Arabidopsis thaliana: one gene and its partner. The protein of the gene in region 2 interacts with the protein of the main gene of each other region in a pairwise test. Each region holds a gene or a part of one and is shown on either strand. Other genes may lie near its edges. The genes, in order: CIPK15 and AT3G22810.

Region 1 (10,839 bases), on a different chromosome or scaffold from region 2:
TATATGTAACAACTCGATACAGAGCATGGCTTATCTCTTATCCGAATCCTCCCAATTTGTCTGTCTCTCTTTTGTTTTCTCTGCTAACAGATCTCTCTAAATATCTGTTACTTTTGTTCATATCTTTTTACTTTTCAAACTACTAATTTTCCTTTCGCTTCTTCTATTAATAACAACACTCTCTCTCTCAGACTTCTTTTCTTTTTTTTCTACGGCGTTGATTCATTCGCAATGACCTCAGTTTCTGTGTACCATAATTGACCTAGCAGATTCTGTTTTTAATGGTAGATTCTGACCCGGTGGAATTTCCGCCGGAGAACCGCCGTGGACAGCTCTTCGGCAAATACGAGGTCGGAAAATTGGTGGGATGCGGCGCCTTCGCGAAAGTGTACCACGGGAGGAGCACAGCGACGGGTCAGAGCGTTGCGATCAAAGTGGTGAGCAAGCAACGGCTGCAGAAAGGAGGACTCAATGGCAACATTCAGAGAGAGATCGCTATCATGCACCGTCTGCGCCACCCTTCTATCGTGCGCCTGTTCGAGGTCCTCGCCACCAAATCCAAGATCTTCTTCGTCATGGAATTCGCCAAGGGCGGTGAGCTATTCGCCAAAGTCTCCAAGGGCAGGTTCTGCGAGGATCTTAGCCGTCGTTATTTCCAGCAGCTCATCTCCGCCGTCGGATATTGCCACTCCCGCGGCATCTTTCACCGTGATCTCAAACCGGAGAATCTCCTCCTCGACGAGAAGCTCGATTTGAAGATCTCTGATTTCGGACTCAGCGCTCTTACCGATCAGATCCGACCCGACGGCCTCCTCCACACACTCTGTGGTACGCCGGCGTACGTGGCGCCTGAGGTTTTGGCGAAGAAAGGGTACGACGGTGCTAAAATCGACATATGGTCATGTGGAATCATACTGTTCGTCCTCAACGCCGGTTATCTCCCTTTCAACGACCATAATCTCATGGTTATGTACCGGAAAATCTACAAGGGAGAATTTCGCATTCCCAAGTGGACCTCACCGGATCTCCGGCGACTGCTGACTCGGCTTTTAGACACGAATCCGCAGACGAGGATCACTATCGAAGAGATCATCCACGATCCATGGTTCAAACAGGGCTACGACGATCGGATGTCTAAATTCCATCTAGAGGACTCCGATATGAAACTCCCGGCGGACGAGACCGACAGCGAGATGGGAGCAAGGAGGATGAACGCATTCGACATCATCTCAGGATCTCCAGGGTTCAATCTCTCCGGTCTTTTCGGAGACGCCAGAAAGTACGACCGAGTGGAACGGTTCGTGTCGGCGTGGACGGCGGAGAGGGTGGTGGAGAGGCTGGAGGAGATCGTGTCGGCGGAGAATCTGACGGTGGCGAAGAAGGAAACATGGGGGATGAAGATCGAGGGGCAAAAAGGTAACTTCGCAATGGTGGTTGAGATAAACCAGCTAACGGACGAGCTGGTTATGATAGAGGTGAGGAAGAGACAAAGAGCCGCTGCATCTGGACGAGATTTATGGACAGATACACTCAGGCCTTTCTTCGTCGAGCTTGTGCACGAATCAGACCAAACGGACCCAGAACCAACTCAAGTACATACGACGTCGTAGTTTAGGTATCTGTCAAATAAATTATCCAAATAATAATTAAAAAAAAATATCCCGGGTTATATGTAATTGCTTTTTTTTTTACCCGGAGAATATCTCTGACATAATTATTCAGGAAATTTCTCGACAAATCTTAATTTTTAGTTGGCAAGTATGTATCTTCTTGTTATGTAATCATAATTATATTTTATATAAATGAAAAATAAAATATAAAAAAATGTATTACTTGTTTTAAATGGCCACTATAATACATTAGTAACGTATCGTGGATGTGAAGTAATGCTATGTGTACAAGACACTCTAACTTAACCATTACTTAAGGATTAGTTAACTATTCAACATGATATTTAACATACATATAGATGTAATTTTTAACAACTCATAAAACACAGTCTTCTTCTGCTATTAATTTTGTCATTATGTAAAAAGAAGTGTCAAGATTTGAGCCATGAACTAACACAACTGATCTACTTTCACCTTTTTGATAAGTAAGAGGTTGTCCTTATCACATCATTGTAAAAATATACTATTAAAATAGATATATAGCTAGTGGACTTTATATAATCCTATCGCATGTGGCTGTGATATAAGATCATACACCAATAATTCTCATCAATCATTTTCTTTTCTTGGTATCCACATTGAATCCAATCATCCATAATCCATTAATTTCAGCTTCAGCAGTTATAATTACTGTAATCAACATATATATCACCTTTTCAATGCAATAATTGTAGGCTCCACGATCTATATATTATCCAATTTACTATATACACAATCACATCGTACACTTTTAAAGCACTTAATATGCTTTAATTAATTCCTTAATTGTGGTTATATGTAACTAATTATCCTGTTGAGCATAAAAGGAAAAGTAGGAAACACACAAATGCAAAAATCTGACGAGCACGTTATGTTGGTTAGATTACGAAAAGACAAGAGTCTTAAATTGGGTGGTTTCCTTGGTTCTCCTTCAATCCAATTTGTAGTTGTTGGCCCACTAAAAGATAGCGGATTAAGCAAAACCCTTAGAAAAATATACTCTGCACTCTATGATAAAAGGTTTTGATTTGACCAACTGATAAATGTATGGTGTATATCCGATTATGGGCCAACGTGGTCCACTGGAGGCCGTGAATTCAATGAGCTTGTCCATTTTAGTCGTCTTCTCGAATTGGCCCAATCACAATCATCCAACCAATAAAGACACTTTGTCATTTTCCAATACATGTATGAACACTAATCTTACCATTGGATTCTTTTTCTCATTTTTTTAACACCATTTCTTACCAAAAAAATAGAAGAAGAAAACACACCATTAACAAATTCTGTAACGTAAGTTAAATTATAAATTTGTTTTGACTTTGTTAATACACAAAAAGATCATCCAAAAGACTACAATAATACGAAATAACTACAAAATAGTAGTATAATGCTTCCTAAAACCGTTGTCGGTCTATTGGCTTATTTCATTAAGGCTCAATTTATTTTATTTTATCTGATAAAGAAATCTACTTATTTTGTCTCAAACTATATAATTGGTCCTCACATATTATTATTGTTACACTGACACCTAGAAAAATACGAAACACGTCTTAAGATGAGACTCAAGAGAAAATACATAAACTAAACACATTGGCAAAACAAAACAAGAAAAACATTCTAAAAGAAGAAGACACATAAAAAGGATAGAATATGTTTCAGTGCCAAGCTAATACAAAGTCGATCAAAGCCGGTCTTATACTCTCCTTCATGACTCTCTTATACTCAGCAGTATCTCCACCGCTCTTCTTTAGCACCACCATGTGATAGCTCGGCGCAATCTCAAACACTTCCGCTTCCACCACTGTAGCCTCAGCCGACATTTTCACCCTCCATTCGTGTTCCTTCTTCCTCACTTTCATCTTAAGGTCCTTCCCAATCTCCACCAGCTTCTCTGTTATCTCAGATGCCTCTCTGTTTGATGTAAACCTCATCTCCTCCTTCTCCTCTCCCTTCTCGAACAGTCCCGAGAGATCAAACCCCGTGGACAGAGATATGATCTCAAACGCGTTCAGGTTGATACACCGCTTCTTTTCCTTCTCTGCACTTGCGTTTCCCTCTGCCTCTGCGTCCACTTCTGTCTCTTCCTCAACTGATTCTTTCACCTCCTCTTGTAGGCCTTTACGGAACCAAGAGCTCTTCATTATTTTCTCAGTTGATACCCTTGTGTTGGGGTTAGGATCCAAGATCCTCTTGAGCAATCTCTTTGCCCCCGGAGCAAGCCAGTTGGGGAACTTGACTTCAGCTTTGCCTATCTTCTTATACAGCTCCATCAGATTGGAATCACGGAAAGGAAGATATCCAGCGAGCAAGACGAACAATATCACTCCACAGGACCACACATCCGCTTTAAACCCATCATACCCGTTCCTGCTTATCACCTCCGGTGCAACATATGCAGGGGTCCCGCATGTAGTATGCAGCAACCCGTCTTGCCTTCTAGAGTCAGAAAGAGCGCTGAGACCAAAATCAGAGATCTTAAGATTCCCATGCTCATCCAACAAGAGATTCTCCGGCTTCAGGTCCCTGTGGCATACTCCACGGCTGTGACAGAAGTCAACAGCGCGTACAAGCTGCTGAAAGTACTTTCTCGCAACGTCTTCTCTCAGCTTCCCAGTTGACACTTTGTTGAAGAGCTCACCACCCTTAACATGTTCCATGACGAAGTAGATTTTAGATTTGGTGGCCATGACTTCATGGAGCTCAACGATGTTGGGATGCCTCAAGAGTCTCATGGCAGAGATCTCTCGCTTAATCTGCTCGGTCATGCCAACTTTGAGGATTCTTTCTTTGTCGATGACCTTAATCGCTACACTATCACCAGTTTTCAAATGCCTAGCATGGTATACCTTAGCAAAGGTACCTTGACCGAGAAACTTCCCAACCTCATAACGGAGCATCAACACAGATCCTTTCTTCTCCATTGACTAACTGGTTAGCTTAGAGCACTACTAATACCACTAAATAAAAAGACCACCCTAGAATATACTAAAACGCAGACAACATAAAGGGTAGAGGAGGAACTCAGGAGGAGGCTGTTAGTGTCGGATCAACCGTCTTCGCAAAGATCATGCTTCCAAGTGGCGTTTTTTCTAGCATTGTGAGAGGAAGGCTGGAAGGTGTGGAAGCAGGGGTTTAGAAAATGGGTGTCCACATAAGGGATGAGGGAGAACAAGGGCCCAAAGGGACAAAGGATCTGAGAGGGTGGTGTAGAGCAATTGAGTTCAGCTTTCAAATACATGTTTCTGCATTCCCTGGCCTTCCAATTTTTGCACACTCTTCTTGATTAAACAACAACCTGAAACATAGAGAGCAAACCATTAATGACAGGATCAACAAAGAAGGCCTATCTAGTTTGCTCCTAATTAAACACCAGAAAATCGAACACTAAAGACAAGATTCAAAGCGATTGAGAGCTATAAACATGGGACGAAATCTAAGTAGATCGAACTAGGAACGAAACAAACAGATCGAATCGGAACAGAGACATAAGATATGTCTTATATCTATCCATCACAGAAATCTAGATTCCTCAATAGCATCGACAAAATCCGCTGCGAACCAGAATCGAACAATTACCTCAGTTATTATTATGCGCGAAAGAGCTACGAAAAGCGAAGACAAGTATATGCCAAATAGCTTCAGCTGCGAGGAATTGAGAGAAAATGAGAAGAAAGAGAAGAAGAGTTTCCCTTCCTTTATATTATAATCGGCCAACAAACACACAAGTTGATGATATCTATGAATTGCGAAAATGCCATTCTCGGAATTTTTACTAATTTTAATGGAAACAAAGAGCAGCCAACCTGTTTACCTTTTGGCCGTTACTAACCATTTTTTGTCATCATCTCTCTTTTCGCTGTTTGCAATTTGCTTTTTAATTATTTCTTTCTTCTAATAATCAACTTTGTTGTTGTTCTTAGCCCTTAAAATAAGTTATCACTTCTCATCATCTTTCATCGTCATTACACACACTAACCAAACTTAGTTCTTTTTTTTTTACATCTTTTCTTTAGTTTTCAAGCTAAATAAATATACGATAAGCATTAAGGTTTGTTTTAACGAAATTTTCATTTACAAAATTAATTTTATTTCCCAATAAAAGGATTTGTTTCACTACATTGGATATGTACACTGTTCTGTTTGTATTATAAAAGGTTAAAAATCAGTCGCTTTTAGTCAATCAATCACATAATTCTGAATATACATACAGTCAACAGATTTATAAATAGTATACAATTTGTTTTCCAGAGTAGTGTTGATCAAAGATTCCTTTAGATGATATGTACCAGTGACGATGTCACACGTAAGCAAGAATATCCTCTAATGTTAGCTTTTATAGATACGGTGACACTTGCTCTCTTTGTCCTTTACACGTGTCTGACATTTATTCGCTTGTGGGTCAGTTTAAACCAGCTTGGCGGCCCCTAACTTTTGCCAACTGTTTCACAGAAGAAAATGGTGGGCGAGTGATTGAGTACACGCATCAACGTAACGTTTTAGCGAAAATCAGACTACACAACATGGGCAATGTAGAAATTAGCAAAAAGGCCCATCGATGGACAATGGGCCTTTAGACAGCGTTCTTTTCAAATCACACAAGAATCATCAATCGTGTAGTTATGTTTTTAATATATCAATCAGTATTTACATGACCACCGGGTTACCAAATTAAATTAGCATCACGATCATGGCATGGTATTAGTGTGAATGACGACAAAACCAAGGTGGCCGAATTTACGAATCTGCCAATGACTCCACCGCAGGAACGTAGTCACGGTGGGTGGCTGGACCTGGACAGACGTGGAGGATAGTGCACACGTCTTTCTTCTCCAGAAACTTCTGCAAATCCGTAAGCATCAGAGGCCCGTACTCGAATACCATCTTCTTGCACTATTCACCATCATAAACAAACACATTGTTATTATCTGATGATGATCCATAAAAGTATCACAAAACTCAGCTTAAATAGAGAGAGCTTTGCGGGCATTCTTTATTAGTTAGCTACCTTGTCCTGGTAATTGTTAAGCGACTTGCATTCCTTGAGAAGTAACCGAATTATCTTCAGCTGCAACATTCACAAGGCAAAAGTCAATCTTCAGCAGCAATAATAAATATCTCTAACTGATATAATTCTTAGTGCTAAGCCTAAGGTTTGCGACACAGAATAGGTATGTGATAATAGAAGGAATGAAGGTTGAGCAAACCTTAGTCTCAGGATCCTTGAGTTTGGTGACAACCTCAGAGACAGTCTCGCGGCAAGCCTCGCAGTTTCCTTGATGGACTTGAGAGGCAAAGGCCGGTGTCACAGCTTGACAGAGGTTAAGCCGTTTGCAGATTTGGTCTGATTTGATAGTAGAGACTTGTGTGAAGAAAAGTTGGGTGTAATGATCTACCATTGAAAGACACTGCAACAAACACATGAGTTGGGCATAGTTAACATATAACCACGTCTGAGAAAAGGAATAGAGAAAGCAAAAACAACCAAGGACTCAATGAAGACCTGTTTTTTGAGAGGAGGAATCTGAGAGCAGCTGATATGAAGGGCCTCAACGAGTTCATTCTGGTTGTCGTAGTCTTGAAGGTAATCAATGACTAGCGTGACATACTTGTCACATAGTTCACAGACTTGGTTGTCATCATGAGCTGATTCTGCAAACGAAACAATCATACATAGGAGATCAACACAAATATTATATGGAGCAAACTTCTTAAACCCAATTAAAAAAAAAAACATACATCAGGATGTCTATATCAGATTGAATGCTTTCTGAAAACGTAACGTATTCAAATAATCCAGTGAACAGATTTTAACAAATTTGAATTAGAAACAGGTGCAAGAGAGACTCTAGATGCCTTCAAAAATGTTCTTACCGAATGGTTCGAGAAGAATCGGGTTTGTAGCATGACAAGACCAGCTCAAGAGGAAGAGGACTAGGAGGACTCCAAATCTACCGCCCATGTTTCCTCGTGAGATCTATATATTACCAAATTTAATGATGATGGATCAAAAACCGATTTGGAGATGGCCATATTCATAAGTCAACAGACACTTTTTGGGGGATTCCGATTTTGAGTTGTCAACAATTTTAGGTTGAAACGCTAAATTAAACAGATCTAAATCAAACCATAAGCGCTAAATAGGTCTGCATATACGACGAGACTGGGGACAAATTAATATGTGCTAAAAGCTCTTATTCCATAGAATCGATACATAAACAACAATCAAATAAGTGTACGAAAAGATGAAGAAGAAGAAGCTAGCTTACACGGCCTCCGATGAAGAAGCTTGGGTATCAATTAGATCTGATTAATGAAAGAGAGCAACCGATCGACGATCGACGATCTTCGATGCTGCTGGGGTTGCTGCTCTCTCTCTCTTTTTCTTTTTTTTTGTGAAAAAGCAAGAGTCTCCTCTCATTTAGATCCATGGTAACAGAATTATATGATTGGCCCTTTTTTTTGTCAAACATATGATTGGTCCTTTCTTTATTATTATTATTATTTTCAATCTAATTAAAGGGCTGTAGTATCAAAATTACTTTTAAAATCTATATTCACATTACCTATTTTGTTTTCCAAACAAATAAACTAACTAGTATTTTATTTCATCTGCTATAAGAATATGATACTCCAAGTTTATACACCTCTGGACAAAATTGTTTGTTCCATTTTCTTCTCCTTATTTTGATACTGTCAATACCTTAATGGAGATGTTTAAACCGTAATTAATCGCATTTGTATGATATTCGCCAAATTATCTTTCACAACCCAACAAATGAGAAATTTGGTTGTTGGTTTTAAACCTTATAAATAGGTCACGGTTCTCAATACTTTAAAGACCTTCAATTTTTTAAAAAAAAAATCTCTCATTTTTCTTTAATGGACGGAAGAAAATGTAATTATGTCTTCTTGTTTAACCTTTAACGAAGAGATGTAAATTCTGATGAGGGGAGCGAGTATATGAATATCACATGAAAGATATTAATGCAAAAGAATGGACCGACCATGGGGTCTATCAGTGTGTATATACTAAGGAAAGCAATGCTCGGAGGTATGTGGAGCACATGTAGGAATGCATGGGTCGTGGCTCGTTTAGTCATACACTGTTTTCCAATTTAATCAGATAAAAACCAATTATTCAATTCATATTGTTTTCATCAATGGTCCTATCTACTCTCCAAATAAATGCTTCTACAATAACCACACCTTTCTTAATAAAATCTACTCATCAATGACATGTTTGTGTTGAAGTTATGTATATGTTGGCTTGTAATGTAAATATTCTCATGGATGAATCGTTAATTGCTATATACATGTGATACAAATATCTTGCCTTGAGTATGACGTATTTAGATCTCCTCATTATTCATATGTGAGTGTTTTCTTTTGTACCCGGTAGCATTACTTAGTGTTCAAGGGTCTAATAAGTTGTGATGACTTTATATATCCATCGAGTGGTTATTGCCTTTGTAGGATTGGACCAACACACTTCGAGATGTATCTTTATAAGTTCTAACTATGAGAGCTAATTAACCGCACTATTGAAACTATTATTTCACTATCATTAATTATTACATTTTGCTTTTAATATATAGTTTCTATAGACACCAAAGCCAAACAAATAAGCCCAAAAGTAAAAACCGTACCAAAGACACCAGGCACCCATATATACATGATAGATTGACTCCATATGTCTCATGCACACATCTCTCCCTCTCTTTCCTTCCCTCTCTCTCTCTCACTCTCCCAAGACAATAATGCCAAACGCGGGATCTGAGCGGGCAGCTTCACTCTCACTGAAAAAGCAAGACACCGCCACCTTCTCCGGTAAGCTACCGTCGACCAAACAACGTTTTTCGTCGGTATCAGCTGCTTGTCCTTCCTTTAGAATCTACTACTACGACGGAGCCGCCGGTGCCGTCCCTTTCGAATGGGAATCTCATCCAGGCACACCCAAACACCCCTCCTCTGAGCTACCTACTCTGCCACCTCTCACTCCTCCGCCGTCTCATTTCTCTTTCTCCGGCGACCAAATCCGCCGCCGTTCCAAAAAGTCCACCAAGAAAATCCTCGCACTAATCCCGACAAGGCTCTTCTGGCTATCGGGCGATCACAATGGTAAGGCTAAGAAACTGTCGGCTTCATCACCACCATCTCTGTCGGAGAGAGTGTTGATCGACGAAAATGAGTACGATCTGTTCAAGTTTCAAACAGAAAGGAATGTCATGCGAAGATTTTCATCCTTCGACTCTTCTGCTGACTACCCAATTCAGAGATCACAATCCACTTCCTGCTTCGGAATCCGCAGATGTTTCCTCTGCTAATTCCGCTGCAAAATTTGGAAAATAAAACGTTGAAATTTTATAAAATGTTTTTCATATATTAGTTTATTTTGTGTTCCATCGTCTTATTATTATAATATTTAATCAGTTTGTGTCGGTAATGCAACTCCGAATCATATAATACGTTTACCTTTTTGTTAAATAAGAGCAATGAACAGTTACAAGAGTTACGTAAATTGATCAGAAGATTATTATAGTAACTGTCGCATTCACTTTGGTTTAAAGTGCATGACTAAAACTTTGATAATTTAAGTATAGCTTTTGGCAAGTGTGTCTTTTTGTATATGGATGGTTCCGTGTAAAAATGTAACTGTGAGTTTGAACAAGCCTTCTTTGGTGTTAATTTAGCTGTCTTCCAAGCAAAGGAAATTAATGAATGGGGTTTGGTGGTTGGTTTCTTCTTAATTGATTTTTTGTCGAATATGATTGGTTTTCTACAACCTCCTCACACTCGAAATAGCAGAATCATTTGGTCCATTTTTAAAAGATAAAATCTACACATCTTTCTTTCTTCTATATTACCTGGTAGGTTTTAGAGTCAAGATTTTAATTTACCTTTTTCCTGTTAGATGTAACAATACGTTTGAATACTGACATAAACTAAGATTTGACACTAAAGTATGTTGAGTTAATAAGTTAAGGAAGGTGTCGGCGGCTACCATTCGAGCGTGTTCATCACCCGCCTGTCGTGCGCGTAGAAAACTCATTTCGCTCCCACAAATTAATGTGGAAGACCCTTGCTATCTATGTTACGAGGCCCATGGGCCCATGTAATTAAAATAGTGTAATTTGAAATTACTGATGTGTTCTCGGGAAGATCAATATATAATTAGAAAGAAGGCTCT
Region 2 (11,356 bases):
TCGCTACATAAAAATGACAATGATTGAAGATGGGGGTTTGATTATTCATACACTCTTTCTCTCTCTTTATTCATTACTCTCTTTTACATGTCTCTTTGACTTTGGACCACTTTACCCAAAATTCCTAAACCTAAAGACAAAAACACTCCTCACCGGTCCTGGCTAATGGGCGTCGTCCTCCCAACTCTCATCGTTTATGCTTTCCTTCTCTTCTTCTCGTCGTCCTCCGCCGCCTCTCTTCAACGTCCCAGTAAGAACCCACTTCTTTAAACTCTTTTATCTACTATCATGTTTTATCTACATAGCATAGTTTGTTTGTTTTGAAAAAAAAATCTATATGGAACCGTTTTTTCTGTATAGTTATGTGTGGAATAGGAACCTAAAAGATCTTAACTTCTAACAATTGCATACTCAACTAAGCAAAATGTTTTGTTGCTTAAACAAAAGAAGAAATGAAGGAGAAAAAGTGAAAACCCCATTTTTTGTTTCTTTTGCCTATTTACTAGTAGTCATGAATTTACTCTGTCGTTAAACCAGGTGGAGGGCTTGGGCAGGGGAAGAAGGAGATAGCTAGGTCGGGTTTACCGGGTCAGATTGTAGATCAGAAGCGGTTAGGGGGACCTGGCTCGGTGCCTCCGATGTGTAGATTGAAGTGTGGGAAATGTGAGCCTTGTAAAGCAGTTCACGTTCCGATTCAACCAGGTCTGATTATGCCACTGGAGTATTACCCTGAAGCTTGGCGCTGCAAGTGTGGCAACAAACTCTTCATGCCCTAAAACCAAAAACAGATCTTCATGACCTAACTTAATTAATTCTTCAACAATTAGTGAACTTTTTGTTAGCTTTTTCTTTTCCTCGGGATTAATTTTGTCCTCCTTACTAATTGGTTTTTACTGGTTAGCTTTGAGGCAATATTTTGTTTAAAAGTTATAATATGATCATAACAGTTTTTAACACATGGAAAAATATGATAGTAATAGTTATATATAGATATATAACCTTATCAAAAAAATGTATGATCATTACAATACACATATCATTCCTTATTAAGTGCGTTTGCCCCCCTATTTTCAGACCAACCCCTCTTGATTTATTAGTCGGCTCATGTGTTTCGGACCCATAGGTTTTAATTGGTCCCTCGATACCCATTTGCCATTAGCCATTAGGCCATTACTTGTCGTGTGTAGTAGTTTATTAATCCATTATTTAGTCTATTTTTCTTTCAGACATGTCGAACTCAAAATTTTGGAAATTCTCTTTTAAATTGTAATGTTTTTTTTTTCTGGTTGAACTACGGAGAAGATATACTTTTGGCTGTACACATATTTCTAATATCTTGTACACTATAATAACAACTGGAGCAGATTTTTGCATGAAACATATATTCTTTTGGGAAATGCTTCTAGCAATCGTGTGGTGTTGGTATGTTACGTAATGCAATGGGAAACAATTTTCTAAGTTGTGCACATAAACCAAGGCGCAGGCGTACGAAACACACGAGTTGGTCTTACACAACTTAAGCTTTTAATTTATCTTCCAAGTCAAAGTCAGTTTTTTCACATGCAAGCGGGGCCTGTTTCTACTATTTGTTCTTGCCAGATTAAGTAATTCATTAAATTGAACGGAAACAAAATTGAAAGTAAATGTAGTATATATGTACATTTAATTTCATTCAAGAGATAAGGAAATAAAGGTGAAAAAAACTGTGTATACTGTATAATGTGTGTAGCCATTTGGAATGTGTAGGTGTAGCCATTTGGAATGTGTATTCTTCTATGATTTGCTCCTAACATGTCATACGTACGAACACTAACTCAAACACATGATTGTTTTTAAAACCAAACACATGATTGGTTTTTACCACAAAAAAAAATATTTATTAGCTAGTTAAAATTTAGGTTTAACTTGGAGAAATTTTTTGGTAGATTTATAATAGATAACCTTACAAATTAACTGGGCCAGCCCAAATACACACCCAATATAGTCCATTGGGCATATGAAAAATTTCATTATGAAAAGATATACTTATTCGTTTCCAAAAACATGCATTTTAATATTTTCATTGATATATTATACTAGTCAAAAGTCAACACTATAATCATCATGAGCGTTGCCAACACCAAATGTGGACCGATGAATTCTATAACTTCAGCAAAGCCAATACATTGGATTTCTTCTAGAAGCTTGGGTTTGATGGGTTTCGGACTTACTAATGTTACATGAGCGTCAATTGTGAATCCATATGCGATGATTGTGAGCATACCTATTGGAGGACACAGTGCTATCTCACTAGTCACTAAGCTTGTATGAACATTTAGGCTGGTACCGTATTATTAAGTTAATACATGACTGCAAGAATGTGGTGTTCAATTTCAAACATGATACAAATCAAAATCAATATGGGAAATGGACCTACCAGATTACGACCTTATATAAAATTAAAAATTTGATATTAAACTTTTTTCACAAAAAAAAAATATATATACAAACACCAAGATTTGTTTCACTAGCTACCCTTATAGAGGCCACATTTAATCCTATATACCTTACAAAAAGACATTACTCTAAAGAAAACACCCTTAACTTTCTCCAAGTTATAATTTGGCCCCATAAGTTAGATATCACCCCTCAAAAAGTAGCTCTGAACTCTTAAAACTACTACTCCCTTCATATCCTATATCTGTTATTCCTCTCGGCAGCAACAGCAATAAGCCTTGAGACACCTTGTGTCCACATTTCATACTCTCTCTGGCTCTTGCACTGAAATTCTACAATCCCTCGCGGAACCGTCTTTAACCCAAAGTATCTCAAATCCTCTCCTCCTTCCAGCAAATGGCGGCCTGGCCAAGCTTGAACGTTTTTGATCACATCAATCACAACATCTGAAGTAATTTAAAAGAAGACAAAAGATCAGGCAAATAAAAATATTAAGGGAGAATGTGCAAGAGTCTTGATATTCACATCCAAAAGACAGACTAAAAACAAAAAAAGTTAAAGATGGCGTCTCCTTTTGTTTTGATCCTCTGATCACTTTAGTCCCAAAACCCTTTTGCTTTTCTTCTCAAATCCCCATATTCAAAGTAGACCCACATCAAAGTTTTGAATTCTCATATTATTGATAGTATTAGTAGATAGTGACAAAGTTAAAGCTTTCACCTTTAGTTATGTCACATTAGTATACTATGAGAATATATCAAGATTCTACTAGGTGTATGCATAATAAGGGTAAGAATTTCTCTTACTTTTGTTCTTCTTCGTGAAGGTCCCTCCTACATGCCTGCTCTTCATCTTCAATATAACCTTCATGTTCAATAACCAAATCAAAATCATAAGAATGATGCCAAGAAATGGTTTTAAGCAGAGACTAAAGCATATTACTAGATATATACATCATTCACAAAATTGCTTTCTCTTCTTTTATTGGTCTCTGAAATCACTTTTTCATGTTCTTTTTTTCTATTCTTTTAACAAAATCACACTCATGTAGGTGACTTAAAAAAGTTTCCACTGATTCACTAATAATGTATCTCACTTTAATCTTTCTTTCCTCTCTCCAAAGTTCATCAGATCACTAATATCAATGCTCAAGAAGGAATCTTACTTGATTTAGCCTGTTTATGTAAACTGAAACTATTTTCCAATGAAGATCACCTGCCACCAAAACCACAACATTAGTTAAGAAAATGGATCCAAAACCATAACAAGAGAAACACTGTTAATAGATTAGCGTTTTAACCTTTGCGGGTGCGTTTAAGAAGTTGGCCACCTCGAGCAAGCCATTCTCTATTGCAATGTCCCAAGAAATTATCCTCAACTAGAAATTCGCCACTATGACTGCTGCTTGAGCTGACATAGCTCCCGTTACCATTAACATTGCTGCAACCTCCGAGATTGATTCCTTTATCCATTGGAATAACTGATGCAATGTGCCACACCTCCTTCATAGCTCTAGCCTTCAATGTAGCCACTCCTCTTAACGCTACACCAGAAGCAAAACAAAAATGGCACTCAAGCAAAAACATGTTTTCACTAGAAACATAGTATCAATTTCTAAAACAAACTCTAAGAACCTGTGGCTGCTCCAGCGGTTAATGTCATGATATCTCCCGCAGATCGAACATTAACAGCAGAACTAACAACGGAAGCTAAATGATCCCTCTCAGCTCCCATAACTTCAGCAGCTTCCACACATTGAGCAGCCACAAGTGTTGCAGCAGAAGCCACAGCCATATCCGTCTTAGCCATATTCTCATCTTTTCCAGCACTCGACGAAGCAGCAGTTGCAGCCGCGATAGCAGCCACCGCGGCTGCCACACCAGCTACTGATACAGCAGCATGTATCTGAGCATTGTGTGCTCTCATCTCTTCCTTCTTTTTCTCCCTCCTGTCTTTCAACCACCGTCCAACTGTCTTGGACTGTGTAGTTGTTGCAGTGATAGGTCCCGGAGTTGTTCCCGTTGAACGGTATTGAGAGTTGAAATTGTTGTTTGATCGGCAAAATTGCTGCATAGAGCAAATAAAACACAACAAAATCAGATTCTGTGTTAATTCACAACAAAACGGATAAAACAAAAGAAGAAACCAAATCGAGTAAAGATTAATGCTTTATATTAAAATACACTTCAATAATTTAATAAGCAACAGCCAACAATCCATGAATCTTCATCGAAGATATCAAAAATATTACTATACTAATTAAACACAGAGTCACACATTAGCAAGCGAGATTAAAGAACCAAACATTATGAGAATGTTTTAGACCTTAATGTCGTCGACTTGATGCGGCGAAATCGGAGGACTGTCGGTTAAAGAACCATTGAGAGGACCGCTGCTATGAGAAAGCCGACCAGATGTTCGTGGCGACACTTCCTGCTGCAATAACATAATTTAAAGTTATGGCAAAAGAATTAAGAAAGAAGACAAAGAAAGAACAGTGAAATTGTTAGCTTTTTGACTTGAAGAAAACTCCAAACTTTTTTTGTGATTATGTTATAGGGTCCCATGAAAGGTGAGTGTTTTAGAAAATCATATCGATTTTATTAAGGATGATATATATGATTACAAATCATTGCGCATGAAAAATTCAACTTCGTTGAACCCACTGAAGAATTCATGATTCATGAGAATTGCGAAAGATAAAAAAAAAAAAACGTGATCTTTAGACCAAAATCGTGCTTAACTCATGAAATTGTAATGACCCATCGATAGAATTGAGTAAACATAGAATCAAATTGACGAAATTAAGAGAATTGAGACAGAACAGAACAGAATTTTTTTGTCTGCAAATGCTCTGTTTTTTAGGAAAGCGTTATGAAACACTTACAGACTGAGATAAGATACGATCCATGACCATCTGAGAAGTTTCTGAGCAAGCGAAGGAGAAAGGGTTTCCGGAGACGAAGCTGTTGTCCTCCGTTTCGGTCTCGCCGGCGGCGATGGGTTCTTCGAGAATGACGGTGGTGTTTTCGATTGAGGCTTTTGAGAGGAGTTGCTGAGAAGGAGTGAGAGCTTTGGAGACTTCGTGAGCTGATACGCTCCAGGAGCGAGAGAGAAACTCCATCGGCTCTAATGGTGTCTCCGGTGGCCGGAAAACTTGGTCGGAACGCCATGGTGCAAACACTGGTTTCTCCATTTTACAGAGAGAAAGAGAATGTTGAGAGATGGAAGAGAAAGATGTGAATGGCTGCAATTTGTTTTGTGATATACTGATATGTGACAACGAGAGAGATGGAGAGGGAGAGTAATGTATGAAAGTCACAGCTTTTTTCCTCTTCTCTGCTTCAATGCTTTGCTTTATTACTCTTCCTCTTAAAAAGAAAATTTTGATATTTAAAGGTAATAAATACGATATTTTTATCTCTTAATTTGCTTGTAATTTATTTATTTTTTTGTAACTTAATACACTCTTATCTTGCTGTCAAAAAAAAAAATATACATATATATACACACTCTTATCTCACTTTTATACGCTTTTATATAGTATATGTTTTATCCTATATATATATATACACATACAAAAACAATTTCATTTTAAAATAATATAATCAATAATAATAAAAAATTGAAATAAATTTAACTTTCCAAAAAACTTTAAGAAACACAAATAAAAAAAAATCCAAAAACCTCATATATTTGGAAACCTAGTTTAAGAAATAGTTTTTATTTCATCAAAATTAACATATGTTCCCAAAAAAAAAGTGTAAACCAATTATTTAACATAGTCCTATGAGTATGATTACAGTAATTAATCACGGTAATTTTGATTTAACTTTAATCTTTACTTTACAGTTTTACACAAATAATTTTATAAAACAAATGAATAGAAATACTGAAATGAGAATTTAAGGAGACTCTGACTTCTATCTTAAAGGAGTGATAAATGGAAAGAAGACATAAATGATAAGGGACCTCATGAGTCCATGATGAGTGACCTGCAAAAATGTGGCGACTCCATCATTATTGAAATATTGGCAGGAGAGAAAGGTGTGCCAAACTTCCATCATTCCATGGATCCCTGTTAACATTAAAAAAATTTGGTATATTTTGTTATGACCATGACTTGGTTCAACGCTTTATATGTATGGTTTGATTATATGTATGGTTTAATTTGATAAGTAAGTTCAAGTGTATATATACATTCATTTGTTAAATATTCAATAATATATCTAATTTCATAATTTAGATTATGTTTTTTTTTTAAGAAAAAAACTCAACGTAAAATCAAATAAAGCCACGAATTAGCGTTACAGTTTGACAAAAAATTAATTTAGAACGAAAAATCTATAAAATCAATTACGTTTCGAACTTTTATCTACGAATAACGGATTGGCGTTACAGTTTAAAAAACAAATAAATTAATAAAAAAATAAAGGCGTTACCGTCTTCAAAAAAATATTATAATAAAGAGATTTTTTTTTTGATATTTAATAAACAACAAAACTAAAAAAAAATATGAGCATTTAAAAAAAATCTCTAACCAATACATAACTAAACTGAATTTCTTACAAATAATTTATTTTTTCGCACAAAAAAACAAATAATTCATTTTTGATTTATTGTACATTTAAAGAAAGGAAATCAACTAAGTATTGTGTGTTGTAATCTGTAAAGCCAATTCTATCTAAATATGAATTATGGAAAGAAAAAAATAAAAAACAAATTACCGTTTTCATGTATAACTTTCTTTATGTAGCCGACACTAGAGTTCATTTTTGACTCCCATTATTGAACTTTCTTACCCTTCTTTGATATAGATTCAACCTAAATCTGAAATATTATATTGTAGTATCTCCTATCCGGGAATATATAGTCTGTTTGACAATTTTATTGTTTTTCTTATATTGCTTTAATGAAACTCCATCTTCTCTAACAACTCAATTATATCGGAAACTTATAAGAAGTCATAACTTCCAACTTTATTTTGAGACTCGATTCAAATCAGGTTTCTTTGACATGAGTGTCAACAAACATTGTCAAAAGGCCACAAACATTACTTATTGACACATTATTTTTTGTTTTGGTGACAGAAAATAGCATGATACAATCTCACATGGCTCGCATCAACGGCATAGGACGGACCCACAGTTCTGTATCTGAACCTGATGGTTGGTCTGGACTGGACCAGACCGAAGAGCTCGCTACAGAAAAAGGTACGAGATGACACCTCCAGAGAGTGGAGGTGTGTAGGGTAGTGGACAAAAGGGATAACCTCAGCAGAATTTGTCTCATTTGGTTAAAGAGAGAGTAGTAATTCTTGATGTGGATACCACTCACCCTTTCGTATTAACTTTCACGTGTTTATCATCTTGACTGTTTTATAAGTATCAACTTTAAAAACTATACAACATTTTTGTTACGAATTTTATTGTGATTTATTAAGATAACGATATGCTTTTTTCAAATGAAGCTTAATTGTTGATTGTTTTCCGAGAGTGGCTATATTCGTCAATTGTAATTCTTTTGTAGAAGCCGTGATCAGTAGAACTAGAAGTAGTCCACCATTGTACTATATATTCATGTCATTATCTAGTTTGTGTAAACGTAGCGAATTGTGATCACGTTATAAAGTTGTCGAAAAGATATATGGCACTATGAAGCTGGATTGGATCACAAAAATCTTTGGGGCCGCTTGATGAGCTAAACCTTGGGCGAAACCAATTCAATTTCTTTTCAAGAATATATGTAGAAAAGCCCACTAAACTAATGTGTGACACCATTGAAAAGACATTGGACCAAAAGAACCCAACTTTTTTTGGGCAAACATTACAACTTTTCTTAGGATTAGTTTGTATTGTAGCGACATTAAGTCCGTTAACAAGTTAATAAAGTGTTAAGTGCACGAAAGTTTTAAGAAACTCATTTTTTTCCACAACCAAGTGGAGATAATATCAATATACATTGTATTATGGATGAATGTGATGTCAGTATGAATCTTTGGTAGTTAATCGCAGATTGTGATAAGTGTTTGACCTAGCTTAGCCATCGAACTTGATTTTGAAGAAATCTTCAGATCAACAGAAAAAAGAATCTCAAGTGGCTTGGTAACTAAAATATATATAATAGTTGCGTATACGTGTACAAACGTATAAACATACGTATATACGGAAGTCAAAAGCATCGATATTAACTACACGCCAACCCTCAAAATAAATTCAGTACATGAAAGCTAAAAACATTACGATCCTCAGGTGATTATTAATCCTGTGATTAATCTCAAAATTAAATTGTTTAAAGAGCTTTTCCTAAAATGATATTGAGTCACAAATAGTAAAGACCACTAGTTTTCTGAGAACAAGTTGTCTTAATTAAAGTAAAGAACAAGGGAAAGATTTTGTTTCTGTCCAAATCCACAGTTTTCAACATTTGGTTTGTTTTCAAATATGTTTTCATGCTTTTTAGGAATATTGATATTATAATTAGACAATAATGATCTAAAAGTTTACTAAAACCGTGTTTCTGGTGGTAATTAATTAAACAAGTAACAACCATCCGATGATTTATAAATGCCCCCCATGAAACTATGAATTTATATATTACATGGTTATGTGCTGGATCGTGTTAACGGAGTAACACTTGTGTCGAAGAAACGAGGCAATTGTCGTAGACCTACTTACTAAACAATCCATTTTATAATCCACATTCGTGTACTGTTTCAACAGTGATACTAACACATGTAGCTCGAGAGTTCATATCCCAATATTGTCATTAATGGTTTATTCAGGAGTTACAATGATTTTTGGCTTTATATAATTTTTCAAAAGCAACTTTTTGGATGACTTAAACATATTTTGTTGAAATTTAAACTTTGGATATGTGATATTATTTGACCATTAGAAGTGTTAATATTTTTTCCAATTTGATTTCTACAAGAAGTGGATACACAGAGATTAGAAAACTATAGATGCATTATTATGGATCAAAGAACATTCTTTTGCTAATTCTGACCTTCTCTACCAAACCAACAAAAGTCAAATCAATGCTGTACTGTCACCCAATATATGTAAATTCTTTTTCAAAAACTTATCAATCATCAAATTTGAATTAATCATCGTTATAAAATAGTAATTAAAAAATTGAACACACTATAAACAAAGACTGACTCTCTTCAAGAATAACCATTCTCATCTACAATTATTTTCCAACATCAACATATAACTTTTCAAAGGAAGTGGTTACACCCCCATTGTGTATACATATGTAACCTTGTACTCCCATTTCCACAACACAAAACAACCTCAAAAACTCATTAGTCATGAGAGAAGACACCTTCTTCTTCCAGTGGTGGTTCTTGGTCTCTGGTCTCAGCTTCATCTTCCTTCTTCCTCAAGCTTTCACCTACCATACTCCTCCAATAAACCCGTGCTTCGCTCATCCTTTTCTTCCTCCTATCACAAACCCGAGGCTCTTAAAAGCTTTCACAGCTCTTCAAGCTTGGAAGTTCACCATAACCTCTGACCCAAACGGCTTCACTTCTAACTGGTGCGGTCCTAATGTTTGTAACTACACAGGCGTGTTTTGTGCACCGGCTCTAGATAACCCTTATGTCTTAACCGTCGCTGGTATAGACTTGAACCATGCTAATATCGCCGGTTATCTCCCTTTAGAGCTTGGTCTCTTAACCGATCTTGCCTTGTTCCATATCAATTCCAACCGTTTTCAAGGTCAACTTCCCAAAACTCTAAAATGTCTCCATCTTCTCCATGAGCTTGACGTCAGCAACAATAAACTCTCCGGCGAGTTTCCTTCCGTAATCTTCTCTTTGCCTTCCTTGAAGTTTCTCGACATTAGGTTCAATGAGTTCCAAGGTGATGTTCCTAGCCAACTCTTTGACCTAAACCTCGACGCTCTCTTCATTAACGACAACAAATTCCAGTTTAGGTTACCGAGAAACATCGGAAACTCTCCGGTTTCTGTTCTTGTCTTGGCCAACAACGATCTCCAAGGATCTTGTGTACCTCCAAGTTTCTACAAAATGGGGAAAACATTACACGAAATCATTATCACGAACTCACAACTAACCGGTTGTTTAAACCGGGAAATCGGTTTGCTTAACCAGTTGACGGTTTTCGACGTGAGTTACAACAACTTGGTGGGTTCGTTGCCGGAGACTATAGGTGATATGAAGAGTTTAGAGCAGTTAAACATTGCGCATAACAAATTCTCCGGCTACATTCCGGAGAGTATCTGCCGATTACCAAGGCTCGAGAACTTCACTTACTCGTATAACTTCTTCTCCGGTGAGCCACCGGCTTGTTTGAGGCTTCAAGAGTTTGATGATCGTAGAAATTGTTTACCTTCAAGGCCAATGCAACGGTCTCTCGCTGAATGCAAATCCTTTTCTTCTTATCCTATTGATTGTGCATCCTTTGGCTGCTCTCCACCTAGTCCACCGCCTCCTCCTCCTCCTCCTCCACCTCCACCTCCACCTCCACCTCCACCTCCACCTCCACCTCCACCTCCACCACCGCCACCATATGTGTATCCTTCGCCGCCGCCACCACCTCCATCACCTCCACCATACGTGTATCCACCGCCACCGCCACCATATGTGTATCCTCCACCGCCATCACCACCATATGTGTATCCTCCGCCACCACCGTCACCGCAACCATATATGTATCCTTCACCTCCTTGTAACGATCTTCCAACGCCGGTGCATTACTAAGGCTTCTTTTGACCGAGTGGGATGCAATAGTTGAAACTGCCATCTGTTTAGTTATTGTGTTCTACGTTATGTAACGCTAGTGTTCATTTAATTGTTATTTATTCTCTTTTAAATTTATTTATCAAAAAGTTAAATGAGCTTTAATTGTTTGTCTAATAAAACAATTGAAAACTTGAAGGGAGATATGTGTAA

What was found.
Region 1: the proteins of AT3G22810 (region 2) and CIPK15 interact in a two-hybrid assay, tested with the Arabidopsis thaliana proteins (one large-scale study listed by BioGRID).

The regions. Positions count from the first base shown.
Region 1 is NC_003076.8:304,194-315,032, reverse strand, and holds CIPK15 (CBL-interacting protein kinase 15), read right to left. Parts: upstream 5,660-10,839; 5' UTR 5,229-5,659; intron 4,948-5,228; 5' UTR 4,574-4,947; coding exon 3,308-4,573; 3' UTR 2,936-3,307; downstream 1-2,935. Other genes in the region: SR1 (serine/threonine protein kinase 1), read left to right, coding at 282-1,610; AT5G01800 (saposin B domain-containing protein), read right to left, coding at 6,387-6,542, 6,658-6,717, 6,857-7,057, 7,153-7,301, 7,524-7,611; AT5G01790 (uncharacterized protein), read left to right, coding at 9,350-9,976. UniProt on the Arabidopsis thaliana protein: CIPK serine-threonine protein kinases interact with CBL proteins. Binding of a CBL protein to the regulatory NAF domain of CIPK protein lead to the activation of the kinase in a calcium-dependent manner.
Region 2 is NC_003074.8:8,062,871-8,074,226, reverse strand, and holds AT3G22810 (auxin canalization protein (DUF828)), read right to left. Parts: upstream 5,810-11,356; 5' UTR 5,633-5,809; coding exon 5,324-5,632; intron 4,873-5,323; coding exon 4,762-4,872; intron 4,738-4,761; exon of another isoform or gene 4,510-4,737; coding exon of another isoform or gene 4,504-4,509; coding exon 4,071-4,503; intron 3,980-4,070; coding exon 3,737-3,979; intron 3,652-3,736; coding exon 3,602-3,651; intron 3,301-3,601; coding exon 3,243-3,300; coding exon of another isoform or gene 3,205-3,242; exon of another isoform or gene 2,883-3,204; coding exon 2,668-2,882; 3' UTR 2,432-2,667; downstream 1-2,431. Other genes in the region: CLL1 (allergen-like protein), read left to right, coding at 166-250, 538-776; AT3G22800 (Leucine-rich repeat (LRR) family protein), read left to right, coding at 9,752-11,164.